2 linked regions of the Pelodiscus sinensis genome follow. The protein of the gene in region 2 purifies or fractionates together with the protein of the main gene of each other region. This does not show direct contact. Links are inferred from orthologs where the notes say so. Each region holds a gene or a part of one and is shown on either strand. Other genes may lie near its edges.

Region 1 (8,718 bases), on a different chromosome or scaffold from region 2:
CCAAGAGCCCACTCAGGATCAGGCGCCAGCAAGCAGAGAAAAAGACCATCCCTGCCCCCAAAGGGCTTACAGACTTAAGAAGGCACCCCTGTGCTTGGTCATGGCACTCTTTGTGCTTGGAAAGCCCCCTCTGGCCCTGTCTGCTTAATCACCTTCCTCAAGCTCTGTTCCGCCACAAACCCTGTTTTTAACAAATGTCCCCTGCAGCTAACAAGCTGCGTGACCGGAGTCATTCTTGTTCCTGCTCTCTCATGCAATCCCCACCTGCTCCTGTGTGCCTGTGACATTCCTTTGTTGTGTCTTGCTGACCTCACCTTGCCAGACACAGCTGGGACCCTACCACTACTTGTTCTGCGCTATGCCTCCCATATTTTGGGGCACCTGAGAAATTATCGTCCCATGCATGCCTGCCACCACGTCTCACATATTTCATCTCTTCTATTTCTAGGGTGCACTTGCTGTGGAGCTAGGAACATTAACACTAACCAGGGAGCAAGTTGGAATATGGAGGCTGTAAAACCATCATCTTAAATGTGCACATGGATTTTTTTTAAAAAAAATTCATCCTAAAGCTTCAGTTTACAGGTACAACTCCCAGCTTCAGCGATGACATTAGCTCTGGCTCGGAAGACGACATGTTAGCCCACTAGCCTACACTGATGATTTTTCCTTCTTAGTTAACCAGAAAGCTGTCTGGTCTTTCATGTCTCCAAGCTGCCTTTCTTCACCACATCCACTATCTCCTGCATGACTCATCAGTGAAACAATAGATTTTCGTCTGCATCCCACAGCAATGACATACAAAGAGAGCTGTTCCTTCTTGCTTTTGCAGCAGGTAGTGTCACTGAGCTAATGCTGCATTATCGCTCCAACTGCTTTGACAACACACACATAAAATGAATAAATAAAAAGGGGAATCCCAAAATGCAACTGTAATATTTTCAAGCACCTTTGCTTGATTAGAATTAATTGAAAGCCCACTTACTGTATTAATGCACTGCTAATCTAGCCACACATAGATACACACTTAATCTCGTTTTGAAAAGGTTACACTTGTTACAGAAAAAGTGAATGATGCCAGGGTTAAGGTTGATAGCAAGTTCGGCGATCAATCAGGAAAGATGGCATTCTTGCCAAGTAGCCAGGTATCATCCGCACCTACAACTATGCTACCATGTGATGAAAAGATAACAGGTTGGAAGTGGGGATGCCTAACCCTATGGTACCTCCTGCAGGAGGTCTAATCCTGCCCATACACTCCCACTATTATGAATGCCAATAAAAGTCCTGGGTTCATTTTTTATTTGGCACATCTTGATACAGGCCAATATCTAAAACTCAAGTAGACTGAGATTTCCACATCCACTCCACCAAAAATATCCCCACAAAGGAAGAATTGGAGAGAGAGAGAGAGAGAGAGAGAGAGAGAGAGACACACACACACACACACACACACACACACACACACACACACACATGCAGCAGCACCCAGAATGATGATTTTAAAACTACCCTTCTCGTCTTGATCAAAACATTGCAGGCATCTCCCTGCAAGCCAGTGGGAATTGGAAGACAGATTGATGCACCTAAAAGCCTGCCTTTGTGTAGCACAGTGAAGGACAACTTAGGCTAGTGAGTGGGCCGCATGAGCAGCCCTCCTTCATCTCAGCGAGCCACAAGATAGTGGTAACCAAGACCGTCTCCTGGGACAGGGTATTTTAGCCAAGTGTACTTGTGCACTTAGGATATGTGGGATGGGCCGACTGAATTGTAGCACCACTTTGATTCAATGCAGAGGGAGTGCGTGGTTCTCACACTCAGCTTTGTGTGAAATCAGCACGCCCCTCACTTTGTGTGCCCTTCAAGTTTAAAAAACTAGGTGGGCAAAAACCAGCAGACTCTGGCAACCCGGTGCCCAGGCAACGGTAAACAAAAACACCTCATGGGCCACACACGGCCCAGTGGGCTGCAAGTGGCTGACTTCTGGATGGCATACAGTGAATGTCACCACAACCTAAGAAATGAAATAATCACCACTCTAGTGCACACCCCTTACTATCTGCAGGATGAAGATCACATGGGGAGGGGGGAGGGAGATAAGCTGGAGGGAAAATACCGAAGTACAGTTCTTGCTGCTCTATTTTTAATCCCATATATACTATAAACTCCTGGGGGTGCAGCCTGGTTCTTCCTGCAGCAAGAGATGCCCGGATAAACTGCACTGGCACATGAATGAGCAGACCAGCAGCAGGGTGTAAATTATTCTTTAACCCCCCCCCCCCTTGCACTTCTGACTCCTCCCCCTCCCCGGAATGGAGCAGCCCTTCCCCCACCGGGCACACACTCCCCGCTCAGAACGAAAGCACAGCTGTGGCCCAACCCAACAAAAGCCCCACAGGGAGTGTCGGCGGCGCACGTGGTAGAGGGCGGGGCCTGACACGTCATTCCCCCCCCCCCCCCAATGGAACGCACTAGTTTGGAACGCGGCGAGCCAGCAGCACCCTAGATTCCAAATGCGAAAGGAAAGGCATCCCAGCCTTGGCCTGATCCTTCCCCCCCCCCGCAGACGGAATCAGGGCTCTCCCCACCCACCCCATCCCACCATTGGCGGGGGGGAGGAAGGAGAACCACCCAAGGTTCCCCTCTGCACATTTCCAGGAAGGCAGACACACAAAAAAGGGAGGGAGGGAGGAACTGTGTGGCGTGTATCATATGACACTCGATGTCATTTCATTATGCAAAAAGCAACCTCCCCTCGCTCAGCTCTGCTGGAGAACTGCCACCGCCCTAAGCCCTGAAATATAGATTTTTTTTCCCCCACAAGGAACAAAAAAAAGCCATGCACACGTTAAATAGAACAAGGATCATTCTAAGAATTCAACTGCAAAGCAAATCTATGAAGGCAGATTTAGGGGGGGTCATTTTGGCGCATAACTACTCCCTCCCAACCCACCAGCAGAGATACACATTCTTAACACAGCTTTATGTTCTGACCCAAAAAATAAGGCTTCGGTGATTCTTCCTTTCTGAACACGATCGTTTTCACCATTTCAGCAAAGAAAAAAAAAAGTGCTTTGGCAGACTCCCCTCCTACGAGTAAGAGTCTGTGCATTGTACATACATACAGATGAATGAGAGAGGAAAGGTGAGAGACAGCTAATCTTCCGGAAAACCAAGCCTCTCCGATCGCCCACAAGCATGTGTCAGCACATCGCTACTAAATGCTCCACTCCATCCCAAATTAAAGACTTGCCTGGTCCAGAGCTGATTCCCAAGGCTAAAGGGAGGCTGGTTTATCTCCAAGCCCCTTTGCAATCATTCCATAGAATGATTTGGAACGGACTGCAGACCGTGCTTTTTTCTTACAAAATCCGCTTTGGAAGCAAGGGGTACCCTCCACCCGCCTCAGACCCAGTCGGTAACACGCAGTGCAGCGGCGGGTGGCTGAAAGTAAGGCTGCTTTCTTCTAAAAATAAAGACTATATTTCCCCCCGCTTTGGGGAAATGGTGTCCTGTGTCTTTAAACCGCTCTAATTCCGATTTTACATGCTGTCCCCCCCTTACCACGTGTTTTCTGTTGTTGCTGGGCTTGCCATTCCAGAAATCTGGCCGCTTCCAAAAGCGTCTCAATGCTCATCTCTTGGGTTGCCTTTCAGTGGAGGATCCAAAATCTTGGAGACTTAAAAAAACCGGGAGGTCTCCTTCTTCTTTTCTTCTCCCAAGTCAAAATGCCTGATCAAACCACCCCCCCACCCCCGATCCCCTGCGAATCTTCCAGACAAGAAAAGGGTTTGCAACAAGATGGCGATGAGTATGTAACAGAAACACAACAAGAAAAAAGGCCTAACACTGCCCTCGGCTACTATACAGACAGCTGCAGACAAAACCCAGCCTGGATCGGTGTAGGTCACTGGATTGGAACTCGTCAATGCCATTTTGCAGGGGTGGAGTTTAACCACTGCAGGTTTGAGTGAAAACTCTTGCTACAAAAGGGAGCAGATCGGCCAAGGCTCTTATTTGGGATCAATTAAATGTGTTTTTTTTTTAATTCTCCTTTTCTTGATGGATTTGAGTGAGTCACTCAAACGGTCAGATAAGACTATCTTCATGGAACTTTGTTCTAACTTAGTTGTGAACTATCTATCACTAATCAAATAGAATGGGGGGGTAAAATATTTAAATAAATACAAATAAATAAATCAAACACATCTATCTACACTTTAATCCAAAAAGATTCTGTCTCACAAATTAGACTGGCTTTGGTCTGCATGTTACCGACTGGGTCTGAGCAGGTGGAGGGTACCCCTTGCTTTCAATATAATTATTAATTATAATAATTATAGATGGGGGAGGGGAAATTAGGTCATTTTGCTCTCTGTTCTCTTTCCCTGCAGTATTGTTGCCCACAGAATATTTCCGGTCAGCAACCTCAGGTGTTGCAGTTATTATTTATTGGGACCTGATTGTTCAGTGGGGTTAAGTACCTCCAGCTCTGGTGTTAAGAACTTCATCTGGATTTATGGGTGCTTCACACTGCTGAAAACCAGGACCTAAATAAGATACAGCCCTGGTGTCCAACCAGTTATATAGCAATCTAGCCCCACTCAACTGGTCAAACAGCCACATTGTTCAAGCCAACTAGCTACACTTTACCAGCCAAGTAGTCACATGGGGCTAGTGTGTTGGACACCCTGGCTTACACAAATCAGTCACCTGACATTTTATTAACACAAACTGACAGAGATCTTAGAATTTCCACATCAGCTGATTTTTCTCTTCTTTCATGAATTATTTGAAAATACCTCTAACTGTAATAGAAGTCAGTATGAATGACAGGTCTTTCATAAAAACAAAAGAGTGGTGTTTCATAAAAACATGAGTGGTGTGGAGAGGGCCTATAAAGAAAAGTTATTTATTAGTTCCCTAAATAGAAGAACTAGAGGACACCAAATGAAATTAATGGGTAGCAGGTTTAAAACTAATAAAAGAAAGTTCTTCTTCACACAGCGTGTAGTCAACCTGTGGAACTCCTTGCCAGAGGAGGCTGTGAAGGCTAGGACTATAATAGAGTTTAAAGAGAAGCTAGATAATTTCATGGAGGCTAGGTCCATAAAAGGCTATTAGCCAGGGGATAAAATGGTGTCCTTGGCCTCTGTTTGTCAGAGGCTGGAGAGAAATGGCAGGAGACAAATCGCTTGATCATTGTCTTCGGTCCACCCTCTCTGGGGTACCTGGTGCTGGCCACCGTTGGTAGACAGGATACTGGGCTTGAAGGACCTTTGGTCTGACCCAGTACGACCGTTCTTATGTTCTTATATAACCATGACAATGATGCAGTTACTGGTTCTGCAAGACCGCCCTTTGCTCAATATTCAGCACTAGGTTCCTAGAAAGAGGAAGGGTATTGTCCCATCACATCAGTATGAACTTTGCAAATGGGAATGTACAGGGTAGATGAAACAGAAGAGAACATGTGATCATAATTATTCATATATGCCTGTAGCTATCATTGAAAACAAATAAGGTTCCATGTGTAATTCAGGACAAGATAAATTATGTAAATGGAAAAGGCCAAATAGATCACTGAATTCACTTCCTGCCCTTGCAGCACAGGAAGGTAAGTATACACAACAGGGTACAAATACCCATTAAGGCTACATCAGATGTTTCTGCAGGGCAAAAAAGAAACCCACATTTATTTTTACAGACAGGCTTGTTTTCAGTTGCTGAGTGCCAGTTTCTTTTACTTGGTTCGTTCCTGGGAAGGAGGGGTGCCTCTTGCTTTGCGATTACTTTGACAGAGAACGAGACAACTCCATGAGTTGCATGCACTATTATTTTGTACTAAATGATACCCCAGGTCTGGTTGCAAGAGGATGAGAGGTGAGTCCTGGCGCCGGGTTTTCCACCTGCTCCTCCCCCCGCAGTGCGTTTGCATCCGATTACAATATGTCATCCTGCCCCGAGCCAATCCGCTTGGAAAACAACAAGGCATGGAGCAGCTCCACATGGGCACCCTGCTCCGTCTGCCTCCGACGGCGTCTCCTTTAAAGGGCCAGCCACCCTCGGAGTTTCCCCAGCAGCCATGAACAGCGCACTAGAAGAGGAGGAGGGCACGTTACCCCCGGTGAACCCTGATGGCTGCGCCTCCATCAGTGTGCCACCGGGAGAGGGTTTTTCCTTCCCACGCTCCTGGGACGGAGATTCGCACCCGCAGGGGGCCTCGAAGAAAGGGGGAGGCTGCGGCTGAATGAAACAGCCTAAAATGCTCTGAACACGGCGCTCCCGGGAGATGTTTCAGCCAGGGTCAGAAAACTGCAGGGCGCGGGAAGGGGAGGTCCCCGCAGCCAACGGGGCGCGCTGCGTTGGTTACGGAGCCAAAGGAATTACCTCCAATCCAGGGCACCCGGCCGCCGAGCAAGTCGGCGGCAGCCCCGCGGGCTGCGAGATGCACCGGGAGCTGCTGCAACATGGAGCCCCGAAGGCTGTAAAATACCCGGCCGAGCCCAGACACCCGGCGCCCTGGGGTGCGCTCCCCCTACCCCGCAGCGGACGCGCTCTCGGTTCCATGCGCCCACGGAATCGGTGCTTTCCCGTGCGCTGCGCAAGGCATCGTATGGGGGAGAGGGGGTTCAGCGGGCTGTAGTCCGGGGGGTGCTCACACTGAACACCTATGCCGCGAACGGTGCTGGGGGCACAGCGCCAGGTGCGTTAACCTCGGGGACGGCTCCCTTTGACGTTAGGCGATCGGCAATCCCAGGAGAGAGGAAGGCCCCTCCCGCTCCCTTGCAGGTGTTTGATCCCTGGGGGGAGGGTGTATTTGCGAGGATCAAGCAGCCACGCACGCCCCAGCGGGCAGGCTCAGCGTGATGCCTATGGCCCAAAAAGCGCCCAGATCAGCCTCCCCGCTGCACAGTCTCCCCAAGCCCTTGGCCCCAGTTTTTGCCCGCACTGGCTTTCTCCCAGCCTCGTGATGGATGTTGCTGGCGGAGGCTGCTGCATTTGGAGGATGGAGGAGGAAGAGGTGGGGGGGGGGGTGCAGGCGGGGGGAGGAGGGGAAAGGCAAAGCCGCCTCTTCTGCGGCGTTTCACCCTCCCCAGTAAATCAGGCAACCCAACGTGGAGGGGGGCGGAGCTCCGGGCCTTACACCAGCCGCCTGATCTGGCAGAGGGAGGCGGAGCACAGTCACCTCGGGCAGGATAATCTGTCTAGTCATGGCTTGCGCTGGCCAAGCCTGCTCCTTAAAGGGCCCGTGCGCCATTTCTCCCAGGGCCCCGCCGGGGAAACACGTGAGGCGGCTCGACAGGGAAGTTCGCGCAGCGCAGGGGAAAATGGAGCTGGCTCTGCCCTGCCTTTCAATACAGGGAGTTCCCTGGCGTGATTCATCCCTGCACAGAGAAGGGAAAGCAGCCTGCGAGCGCCACAGGTGGTGTAAAAAAATCAGCACCAAAGGCTTAAAAAATAAAGGCCTGATCTTGCAAAGCACCATCACTCAGCTCCACTTGTTTTAGAACATAACAGCCACTAGACTGGGTCAAACTAACAAGCCATCTAGCCCAGTGTTTCTCAACCTTTTTTTGTATAAAGTAGCCATCACTGGATAGTTCTCTGAAAACATCCACTCAATGTGCAGCGGCAGTCAAAAAAGCAAATAGAATGTTAGGAATCATTAAAAAGGGGATAGAGAGAGATCTTGCAAAATTAGTCCCCATCATATTGTATGTATAGTTGGGATTATTTTTTCCAATGTGCATTACTTTACATTTATCAACATTACATTTCATTTGCCAGTTTGTTGCCCAGTCACTTAGTTTGGTGAGATCTTTTCGAAGCGCTTCACAGTTTGCTTTGGTCTTAACTATCTTGAGCAGTTTGGTATCATCTGCAAATTTTGCCATCTCACTGTTTACCCCTCTCTCTAGATCATGTATAAATAAGTTGAATAGAATTGGTCTCAGGACAGACCCTTGGGGGACCCCGTTAGTTACCTCTCTCCACTCTGAAAACTAACCATTTATTCCCACACTTTGCTTCCTGTCTTTTAACCAGTTATCAATCCATGAAAGGACCTTCCCACTTATCCCATGACAACTTACTTTACTTAAGAGCCTTTAGTGAGAGGCCTTGTCAAAGACTTTCTGGAAATCTAAGTACAGTATCTTCACTGGATCCCCCTTGTCCACATTTTTGCTGACCCCCCTCAAAGAACTCTAGCAGATTAGTAAGGCACCCTCTTCAGTGAGGATGCCTGCTAAGCTCCCATGTTCCCTCGAATCTTTTCCACCCATGTGTGGATTTTTCCATCCATGTGCAGAATAATTTTTTTGTGTGCACTGAGGCATGTGCATCTCCAGCAGAAACAAAACCTACCTGTGGGTGCTCTGCTAACCCACTGGGCGGCATTGGAATTTCTCCTGAATAGCTGCACAAGCAACTCGGAAAGTCAGGCCCTAAGCACCAGATCCTGCAAAACCAAGCACCTCTGAGCTGCTGGCCTGAAGAACAGCTCTGGGTACACACTAGAGCTGGTCTCTCGCAACAGCAGAAGCTGGTCCAATAAAAGATATTTTCCGGCCCACCTTGCCTCTCTAACGTCCTTCGACCGACATGGCTACACCCCTGCACTCCACTCCCGGTGCAGGTTCCTCATTGGAAGTCTCTGTCCAAGGGCCGCTCAGCCCTTTGCACAATCCGGCCCTAAATTAGGGGTCTCAGTCT
Region 2 (8,861 bases):
GATCCCGGATCCCCCTACACATCTCCCTTCCTGCATCGCCTGATACCAACTCGCCCTGGATCCCAGATCTCCCTACACATCTCCCTGCCTGCATCGCCTGATACCAGCTCGCCCTGGATCCCGGATCCCCCTACACATCTCCCTGCCTGCATCGCCTGATACCAGCTCGCCTGGGTCCCGGATCCCCCTACACATCTCCCTGCCTGCATCGCCTGATACCGGCTCTCCTGGGTCCCGGATCCCCCTACACATCTCCCTTCCTGCATCGCCTGATACCGGCTCGCCTGGGTCCCGGATCCCCCTACACATCTCCCTGCCTGCATCGCCTGATACCGGCTCTCCTGGGTCCCGGATCCCCCTACACATCTCCCTGCCTGCATCGCCTGATACCGGCTCGCCTGGGTCCCGGATCCCCCTACACATCTCCCTGCCTGCATCGCCTGATACCGGCTCGCCTGGATCCCGGACCCCCCTACACATCGCCTGATACCGGCTCGCCCTGGATCCCAGATCCCCCTACACATCGCCTGATACCGGCTCTCCTGGGTCCCGGACCCCCCTGCACATCGCCTGATACCGGCTCTCCTGGGTCCCGGACCCCCCTGCACATCGCCTGATACCGGCTCTCCTGGGTCCCGGACCCCCCTGCACATCGCCTGATACCGGCTCTCCTGGGTCCCGGACCCCCCTACACATCGCCTGATACCGGCTCTCCTGGGTCCCGGACCACCCTACACATCGCCTGATACCGGCTCTCCTGGGTCCCGGATCCCCCTACACATCGCCTGATACCGGCTCTCCTGGGTCCCGGACCCCCCTACACATCGCCTGATACCGGCTCGCCTGGGTCCCGGATCCCCCTGCACATCGCCTGATACTGGCTCTCCTGGGTCCCGGATCCCCCTGCACATCGCCTGATACCGGCTCTCCTGGGTCCCGGACCCCCCTACACATCGCCTGATACCGGCTCGCCTGGGTCCCGGATCCCCCTACACATCGCCTGATACCGGCTCTCCTGGGTCCCGGACCCCCCTGCACATCGCCTGATACCGGCTCTCCTGGGTCCCGGATCCCCCTACACATCGCCTGATACCGGCTCGCCTGGGTCCCGGATCCCCCTACACATCGCCTGATACCGGCTCTCCTGGGTCCCGGACCCCCCTACCCATCGCCTGATACCGGCTCTCATGGGTCCCGGATCCCCCTACACATCGCCTGATACCGGCTCGCCTGGGTCCCGGACCCCCCTACACATCGCCTGATACCGGCTCTCCTGGGTCCCGGATCCCCCTGCACATCGCCTGATACCGGCTCTCCTGGGTCCCGGACCCCCCTGCACATCGCCTGATACCGGCTCTCCTGGGTCCCGGACCCCCCTGCACATCGCCTGATACCGGCTCTCCTGGGTCCCGGACCCCCCTGCACATCGCCTGATACCGGCTCTCCTGGGTCCCGGACCCCCCTGCACATCGCCTGATACCGGCTCTCCTGGGTCCCGGATCCCCCTACACATCGCCTGATACCGGCTCTCCTGGGTCCCGGACCCCCCTGCACATCGCCTGATACCGGCTCTCCTGGGTCCCGGACCCCCCTACACATCGCCTGATACCGGCTCTCCTGGGTCCCGGACCCCCCTACACATCGCCTGATACCGGCTCTCCTGGGTCCCGGACCCCCCTGCACATCGCCTGATACCGGCTCTCATGGGTCCCGGACCCCCCTGCACATCGCCTGATACCGGCTCGCCTGGGTCCCGGACCCCCCTGCACATCGCCTGATACCGGCTCTCCTGGGTCCCGGATCCCCCTGCACATCGCCTGATACCGGCTCGCCTGGGTCCCGGACCCCCCTACACATCGCCTGATACCGGCTCTCATGGGTCCCGGACCCCCCTGCACATCGCCTGATACCGGCTCTCCTGGGTCCCGGATCCCCCTGCACATCGCCTGATACCGGCTCTCCTGGGTCCCGGACCCCCCTACACATCGCCTGATACCGGCTCTCATGGGTCCCGGACCCCCCTGCACATCGCCTGATACCGGCTCGCCTGGGTCCCGGACCCCCCTACACATCGCCTGATACCGGCTCTCCTGGGTCCCGGATCCCCCTGCACATCGCCTGATACCGGCTCTGCTGGGTCCCGGACCCCCCTGCACATCGCCTGATACCGGCTCTCCTGGGTCCCGGACCCCCCTGCACATCGCCTGATACCGGCTCTCCTGGGTCCCGGACCCCCCTACACATCGCCTGATACCGGCTCTCCTGGGTCCCGGACCCCCCTGCACATCGCCTGATACCGGCTCTCCTGGGTCCCGGACCCCCCTGCACATCGCCTGATACCGGCTCTCCTGGGTCCCGGACCCCCCTGCACATCGCCTGATACCGGCTCGCCTGGGTCCCGGACCCCCCTGCACATCGCCTGATACCGGCTCTCCTGGGTCCCGGACCCCCCTGCACATCGCCTGATACCGGCTCGCCTGGGTCCCGGACCCCCCTACACATCGCCTGATACCGGCTCTCCTGGGTCCCGGACCCCCCTACACATCGCCTGATACCGGCTCTGCTGGGTCCCGGACCCCCCTACACATCGCCTGATACCGGCTCGCCTGGGTCCCGGACCCCCCTACACATCGCCTGATACCGGCTCTCCTGGGTCCCGGATCCCCCTGCACATCGCCTGATACCGGCTCTGCTGGGTCCCGGACCCCCCTGCACATCGCCTGATACCGGCTCTCCTGGGTCCCGGACCCCCCTGCACATCGCCTGATACCGGCTCTCCTGGGTCCCGGACCCCCCTACACATCGCCTGATACCGGCTCTCCTGGGTCCCGGACCCCCCTGCACATCGCCTGATACCGGCTCTCCTGGGTCCCGGACCCCCCTGCACATCGCCTGATACCGGCTCTCCTGGGTCCCGGACCCCCCTGCACATCGCCTGATACCGGCTCGCCTGGGTCCCGGACCCCCCTGCACATCGCCTGATACCGGCTCTCCTGGGTCCCGGACCCCCCTGCACATCGCCTGATACCGGCTCGCCTGGGTCCCGGACCCCCCTACACATCGCCTGATACCGGCTCTCCTGGGTCCCGGACCCCCCTACACATCGCCTGATACCGGCTCTGCTGGGTCCCGGACCCCCCTACTCATCTCCCTGCCTGGACGCCAGCCCCGGCCGCTCACCCCCGTCCGCCCGGGATCACATGAGCCCAGCGCCAGCTGGGTCCGCTCCCCGGCCCGCCCGCGGCGCACTCGGCCTGCCCCCCCGGCGCTGGCGCTCGCGGGCCGGGCGGGGCGCGAAGGCAGCACGTACCGCAGACTGAAACCTCGGCTGCTCGTCCTGCAATAAGAGAGAGACAGAGACACTCGCGTTACTGGCGGGCGGCCGGCGGGCCGGGGGGGGCAGGGGCGCCACTCACGTCGCTCTCCACCTCGATGTCATCGTTGTCGCTCATGCTGCCGGGCCTCCGGGCGCGCCGAGCCGAGCCGAGCCGGGCGGGGCGCCACAACAACAGCCCGCACCGCGCAGCCGCCTCCCGCAGCCCCAGCCGCGCCGCCGCCGCCGCTGCCTGCTCCACCGTGCGCCGCCCCCCCCTCTCTCCCGGCCACGTGACCGCCAGCGCCGCCTCCCGCCGCGGGGCCTGCTGGGGGTTGGAGTCCGCCGCGCCGCGGCCGCCGAGCGGGAGGCCGGCGCCGCGCACTACAGCCCCCGGCGGGCCCCGCGCGCGGCCCCGCAGCCCCCGGCGCCGGCGCAGAGGCGGCGGCGCGGCGCACGCCGGGAGTTGTAGTCTCGGGCGAGGAGGAAGGGACTCGGCGGGGAAGAGGACACGTGGATGGGAGGCGGGGACTGCGCGGCTCCCCACCCTGCTCAGCACCTCCCGGGGGGGGGAGGGGCGGTGCTCAGGGCTGCTGCCCTACCTAGGGGGCGCGGAGCCCTCGCTGGGTGCCCCAGCCCCCCCCACCCTGCACAGCAATGGGGGTCTCCCAGGCGCCTGCCCACCAGGGGTCGGGTGGCCTGGCCAGGCAGCTGGTTTTTGGCTGGAGCGCCCGGCGGAAAGGCCCAGCCACCTGGGCGGTTACAAGTCGGGTGGGTAGCAGGGAGGGGGCCCAGCCCCCTTGGCTCCACCCAGCTCCCAGACCCCTGCGGCTCCTAGGCACGGGAAGGTGCGGTCCACAGCCTCTGCAGCTCCCAGTGGTCCCAGTTCCCGGCCAATGGGAGCGGCACAGCTGTCACTTGGCAACAGTTCCTGGCCAATGGGAGCTGCGGAGCTGTCACTAGTGGGTGGGGGGGCAGCGTGTGGAGTGCTGGCTCTGCAGCTCCCATTGGCTAGGAGCCATGACCACTGGAAGCTGCAGGGACAGCACTTTCGAGTGCTACTTCCTAGGAGCTGCAGCAGATGCTGCCAGGTCCAAATACCCCCGACTACCTCCCATATCCCAGCCCGGAGTCTCCTCCTGTACCCAAACTCCTTCCCAGAGCCCACGACCCTCACTCCCCCGCCATACCACAATCCTCTGTCCAAGTCCTGAGCCTCTTCCTGCATCCCGAGCCTCTCATCCCGTCACACCCAGAGCCTGCACCCTCAGCAGAGGCCCCTACCACACCTAGGGGGCACAGTATCTACATGAGGGGAGGGCCGTGGCCAAGGCTCTCTGCACCTAGAGGGCATAGACCCCACCAACTTCATAAGGAGGGCCCTCACACAACCCACGTGGATGGACAATGGCCAAGGCCTCTCCCCCCACTAAAGACATGCCCCGAATAGTGGCCCCTGACTTCAGACCCCACAATGCCCACACTGGGGTGGCTCTGCCCAGTGTCCCCAAAGACTGAACTGGGGGGGGATCCTGCCCAGGATTTATTTGGGGGCAGTTTTCTCCCCTTTTAGGCAGGAAGACACAATTGATTATCACAACCTTGGAATCTATGAATTAGTGAACTAGCAAGATTTAGACGGAGCCTGAATCCGTAGAGAGGCCAAGCCCGGACTGTCGGGGCAGTGTCCACAGTGAAAGAGAAAAGAGAAGTTGGCTTGGGGGGACGTCAGGCGCTCAGTTTGGGCCACGTTGATCCCTGGATCTCCATGTGAAGGTGTCGGAAAGATGGGCCCAGGTGCTGGTTTGGATAAAAAGGGGTAGCTCGTAAGGCAGGCGGGACAGTAGTGTGTGGGTGACTTTAGTATTTAGGACTGCAGTGCTGTGGGTGGGTCTGATGGCAGGACACAAATAAGGACAGCAAATCTATTTGCACTGGGTCAGCTGTGGAGGAGTCCTTTGAGAGGAGCTGGGTGGAGCCCTCCTCTGAATGGTGAATTCAAGGCCCCTTCATTTGTTTTGAAGTATGGAAGCGGGAGCATCCCTCAAATTCACAGCCAGTGCTGGGACCCAGCAGCAGGACTGGAGGAGAGGGAAAGTATGAGAGAGGCACAAATGAAGTAGGGGAGGCTCACTCAAGGAAGCCTGTGGAGACTCAAGGACTGAGGCTGAGCAAACTCCTCCATGCTGTGCACTGGATTTCAAACGTAGGGTTGCCACGTTGTCTGGGATTGGCCCAGACAGTCCTGTATTTGTGGCCTCTGTCTGATAAAAAAAAAAACAGAAAATACTGCACATGTAAAATGTCCGGTATTTTCTGTTTTTCTTGGATGGAAGGCTGCTTGGGACATTCCTCCCCTGCCGCATTTGGTGGGGGCAGGGGAGTGTGGGGATTTAAAGGTGCAGTGACTGGGCGGGGGGAGGTTGTGTGGTTTTTATTTTTTTTCCTGCCATGTTTGGTATTTTTTGTGAAAGTATCTGGCAACCCTCTGCCAATAACCCTGTCGTGTGTGTGTGTGTGTGTGTGTGTGTGTGTGTGTGTGTGTGTGTGTGTGTGTGTGTGTGTGTGTGTGTGTGTGTGTGTGAGAGAGAGAGAGAGAGAGAGAGTGTGTGTGTGTGTGTGAGAGAGTGAGTGAGAGAGAGAGAGAGAGAGAGAGATACAGTGGAAGCAAAATACTTATTCCCACAACCCAAACAATAATATCATCAAATCACAACAAAGAGCAAGACATGCTAGCTTAAACCTCATCACTTCAAGTTCCAATAGAATTAGACAAACTTAAAAAACAACAAAATAGTCCTGCAGCACCTGAAAGACTAACAAAACATGTAGATTGGATCATGAGCTTTCGTGGGCACAACCCACTTCTTCAGATGAAGTTGTGCCCACGAAAGCTCAGGATCTCATCTACATGTTTTGTTAGTCTTTCAGGTGCTGCCAGATTCTTTGTTGTTGTTTAAGTCTTTCCATTTACAGACTAACTTGGCTCCCCCTCTGAAGCTTTAGAAGTAGACAGTGACACTACTTGTAAAACATTTTTAAATACAGGAGAAATGCAGGAAAGTGGCTTTTCACTTACATAACGTGCTGGGTGGACCTACCTATTGATCAGGATCTTGGCCCAGTCTGGCTCAAAAGATGCACCTCAGGTGAGCTGTTGAGTCAGTTTCTTCCTTTTGTTTTTAACCTTGTCAAAGTTGAAAATCCCAGCGTGCATGGGTAGGCTGTTATGAATCATGACCACAACAGAACACTAATCTTACGTAACAGTGGATAGTCTTTGAAAACACTTATCCAAAATGATGACACATTTCAACGTCTGGTGGCATATTCTGAGTGTGTGATCACAGGTGCATTGCAGCAACTTTTTCTTGATCAGGAATCACATTTAGCTCCGTTACTGAGCCAGGATTTCCAAAAGCAGAAGGATCTTTCACCCAACGCGTTTCATTTCAATTTTCAAACCCTTCTGCTGGGAAACAGGTGACAAAAATTGTCAGAACAGTGAGATGTCACGATGTGACACTTTCCATTTCATTCGCTTTTTCTTCACTGATGCTGTTTTCCTCTGTGTGTCGTAACAGAGCTGGGAACATGTCATAGCTTGGGTGATTGTTTTTCAGGTGTGTTTGCCCCAGTGCTAATGTCTTTTGGAATGTGTGTATCTGCTCCCAGTTTCAAAATAAATAATTGCCTCCTCCTTGTATAGTCACATTCAGTTTGGTTAAAATTGAGAAAATGTCAGTGAGAGAGGACAACTTTATTAACCAACTGTCATCATGAAACACATTTGCCAAGTTTGTTTCTCTCCCCCAAAAAATATATAGCATGACTACACCATCTTTTTCCCTCCAAATACAATAAGAAATATTTATTGAACACTTGCCTTTTGTGCAAGTTTATTTATAACTAACAGTAATACCCGATGTCGCCCGGGGAAAATATAGTAAAAGGTGTGATGAATGAACTACGTCAATTATATTGGCCTCTCTACGGATTCAGGCTCCGTCTAAATCTTGCCAGTTCACTAATTCATTGAACTACGTCAATTATAGCATATTTGATTGGAAATACTTTTCTCTTAGGGTATGTCTACACTACCCCGCTAGTTCGAACTAGCGGGGTAATGTAGGCATACTGCACTTGCAAATGAAGCCCGGGATTTGAATTTCCCGGGCTTCATTTGCATAAACTGGGCGCCGCCATTTTTAAATCCCTGCTCGTTTGAACCCCGTGCAGCGCGGCTACACGCGGCATGAACTAGGTAGTTCGGACTAGGCTTCCTAGTCCGAACTACCGTTACTCCTCATTCCACGAGGATTTCGGAATATAACCAATCCTGTTATTTAAGTTAGGAAATCAGTAGTATCCATGCAAAATGTTGTATTTCTAGCTCTTACCGTTTCTGAGATGTTTTGGGACAAACAAACAAACACTTTCTAAAATATTTATAAGATTCTACCATTTCCATCTAGTAATGGACCAATACCATTGTTAGGATTCTTTTTGTTCCTAATGTACTTTTAAAATCTCCTTCTTTTTTTGTCCCGAACTCTCGCCCATAAAGGTCTCTTTGTGTCCCTTGGCTTCCCTTATCCATTTTCTACAATTCCTAGTTTCTGATTGTAGTCATTACTATCCACTTTTTTTCTTCCATCTGTTATATACCATTTTTATAGTTGCCTTCATTTCCTTTCTAAATCAGGTCATTTTTAAATAATGTGGTTTTCTTCCTTAATTTTGGCTTTTGGGGCATCTAGTAAAATGTTGTCATACAATTATCATTCATGTTTTTCTGATTAAAATCTTCCTCCCAGCTGATTTCACTTATAATTGTTTTCAGGTTTGTGAAACTGGCCCTTTTAAGGAAACTAATGTGTGTGTGTGTATATATATATATATATATATATATATATATATACACACACACACAGGGCTCGCCAAGCGGCAGCGAGCCCTACTCACCAGCTATGTGGAATCGCACGCTACGCATGTGCAGACCGCGCTGCGCATGTGCTGACCGTGCTACGCAGCCGCACCAAGCTAAAATTGTCCTGCCCTAATTGTCGAGCCCTGTATATATATATATGGTATGGACTTTATTCTGTTCACAGGTCACGATCCTAAGTTATCATTCATTTTAATTTTTGTCAGTTCCTCTGGTGTCTGTCAAGACAACATATAATGTAGAGGGGCCTGTGTTGGATGCAACAATTGGTGAGTTAGGAAACTGTTATCTATATTATTTAGACATTTCAAGGATGTTTTAGTACTGGCAGCATGAGATTTCCAGTGTATGATCATGCAACCTTTTTTCCTACAATTATTGATAGGTGTGTAAGGAGCTGATCGTGCTAGTCCTCAAGAGTGATTTGGTAGCAGACGCTAATACCCAGTCTTCAATCTGTTGGTGCCCAAAATAGCCAGAGCCCGCACCCCCTTCCCCACTCAAACTCCCTCCCCCCACTTGCCTAAGGCTCTGGGTGAGAATTTGGGTGCTGGGTGCAGGCTCTGGGCTAGGGCAAGGCACTGGGGTACAGGCTCTGGG

Evidence for each region.
Region 1: the proteins of MAX (region 2) and MNT purify together in Homo sapiens (affinity purification with mass spectrometry; 7 studies listed by BioGRID and IntAct, with this or other methods). This does not show direct contact. The link is inferred for Pelodiscus sinensis from reciprocal best matches to the Homo sapiens genes MAX and MNT.

What each region holds. Positions count from the first base shown.
Region 1 is NC_134731.1:11,654,547-11,663,264, forward strand, and holds the start of MNT (max-binding protein MNT), read right to left. Parts: upstream 3,827-8,718; 5' UTR 3,638-3,826; coding exon 3,565-3,637; intron 1-3,564. UniProt on the Homo sapiens protein: Binds DNA as a heterodimer with MAX and represses transcription. Binds to the canonical E box sequence 5'-CACGTG-3' and, with higher affinity, to 5'-CACGCG-3'.
Region 2 is NC_134714.1:129,403,445-129,412,305, forward strand, and holds the start of MAX (protein max), read right to left. Parts: upstream 3,606-8,861; 5' UTR 3,453-3,605; coding exon 3,417-3,452; intron 3,338-3,416; coding exon 3,311-3,337; intron 1-3,310. UniProt on the Homo sapiens protein: Transcription regulator. Forms a sequence-specific DNA-binding protein complex with MYC or MAD which recognizes the core sequence 5'-CAC[GA]TG-3'. The MYC:MAX complex is a transcriptional activator, whereas the MAD:MAX complex is a repressor.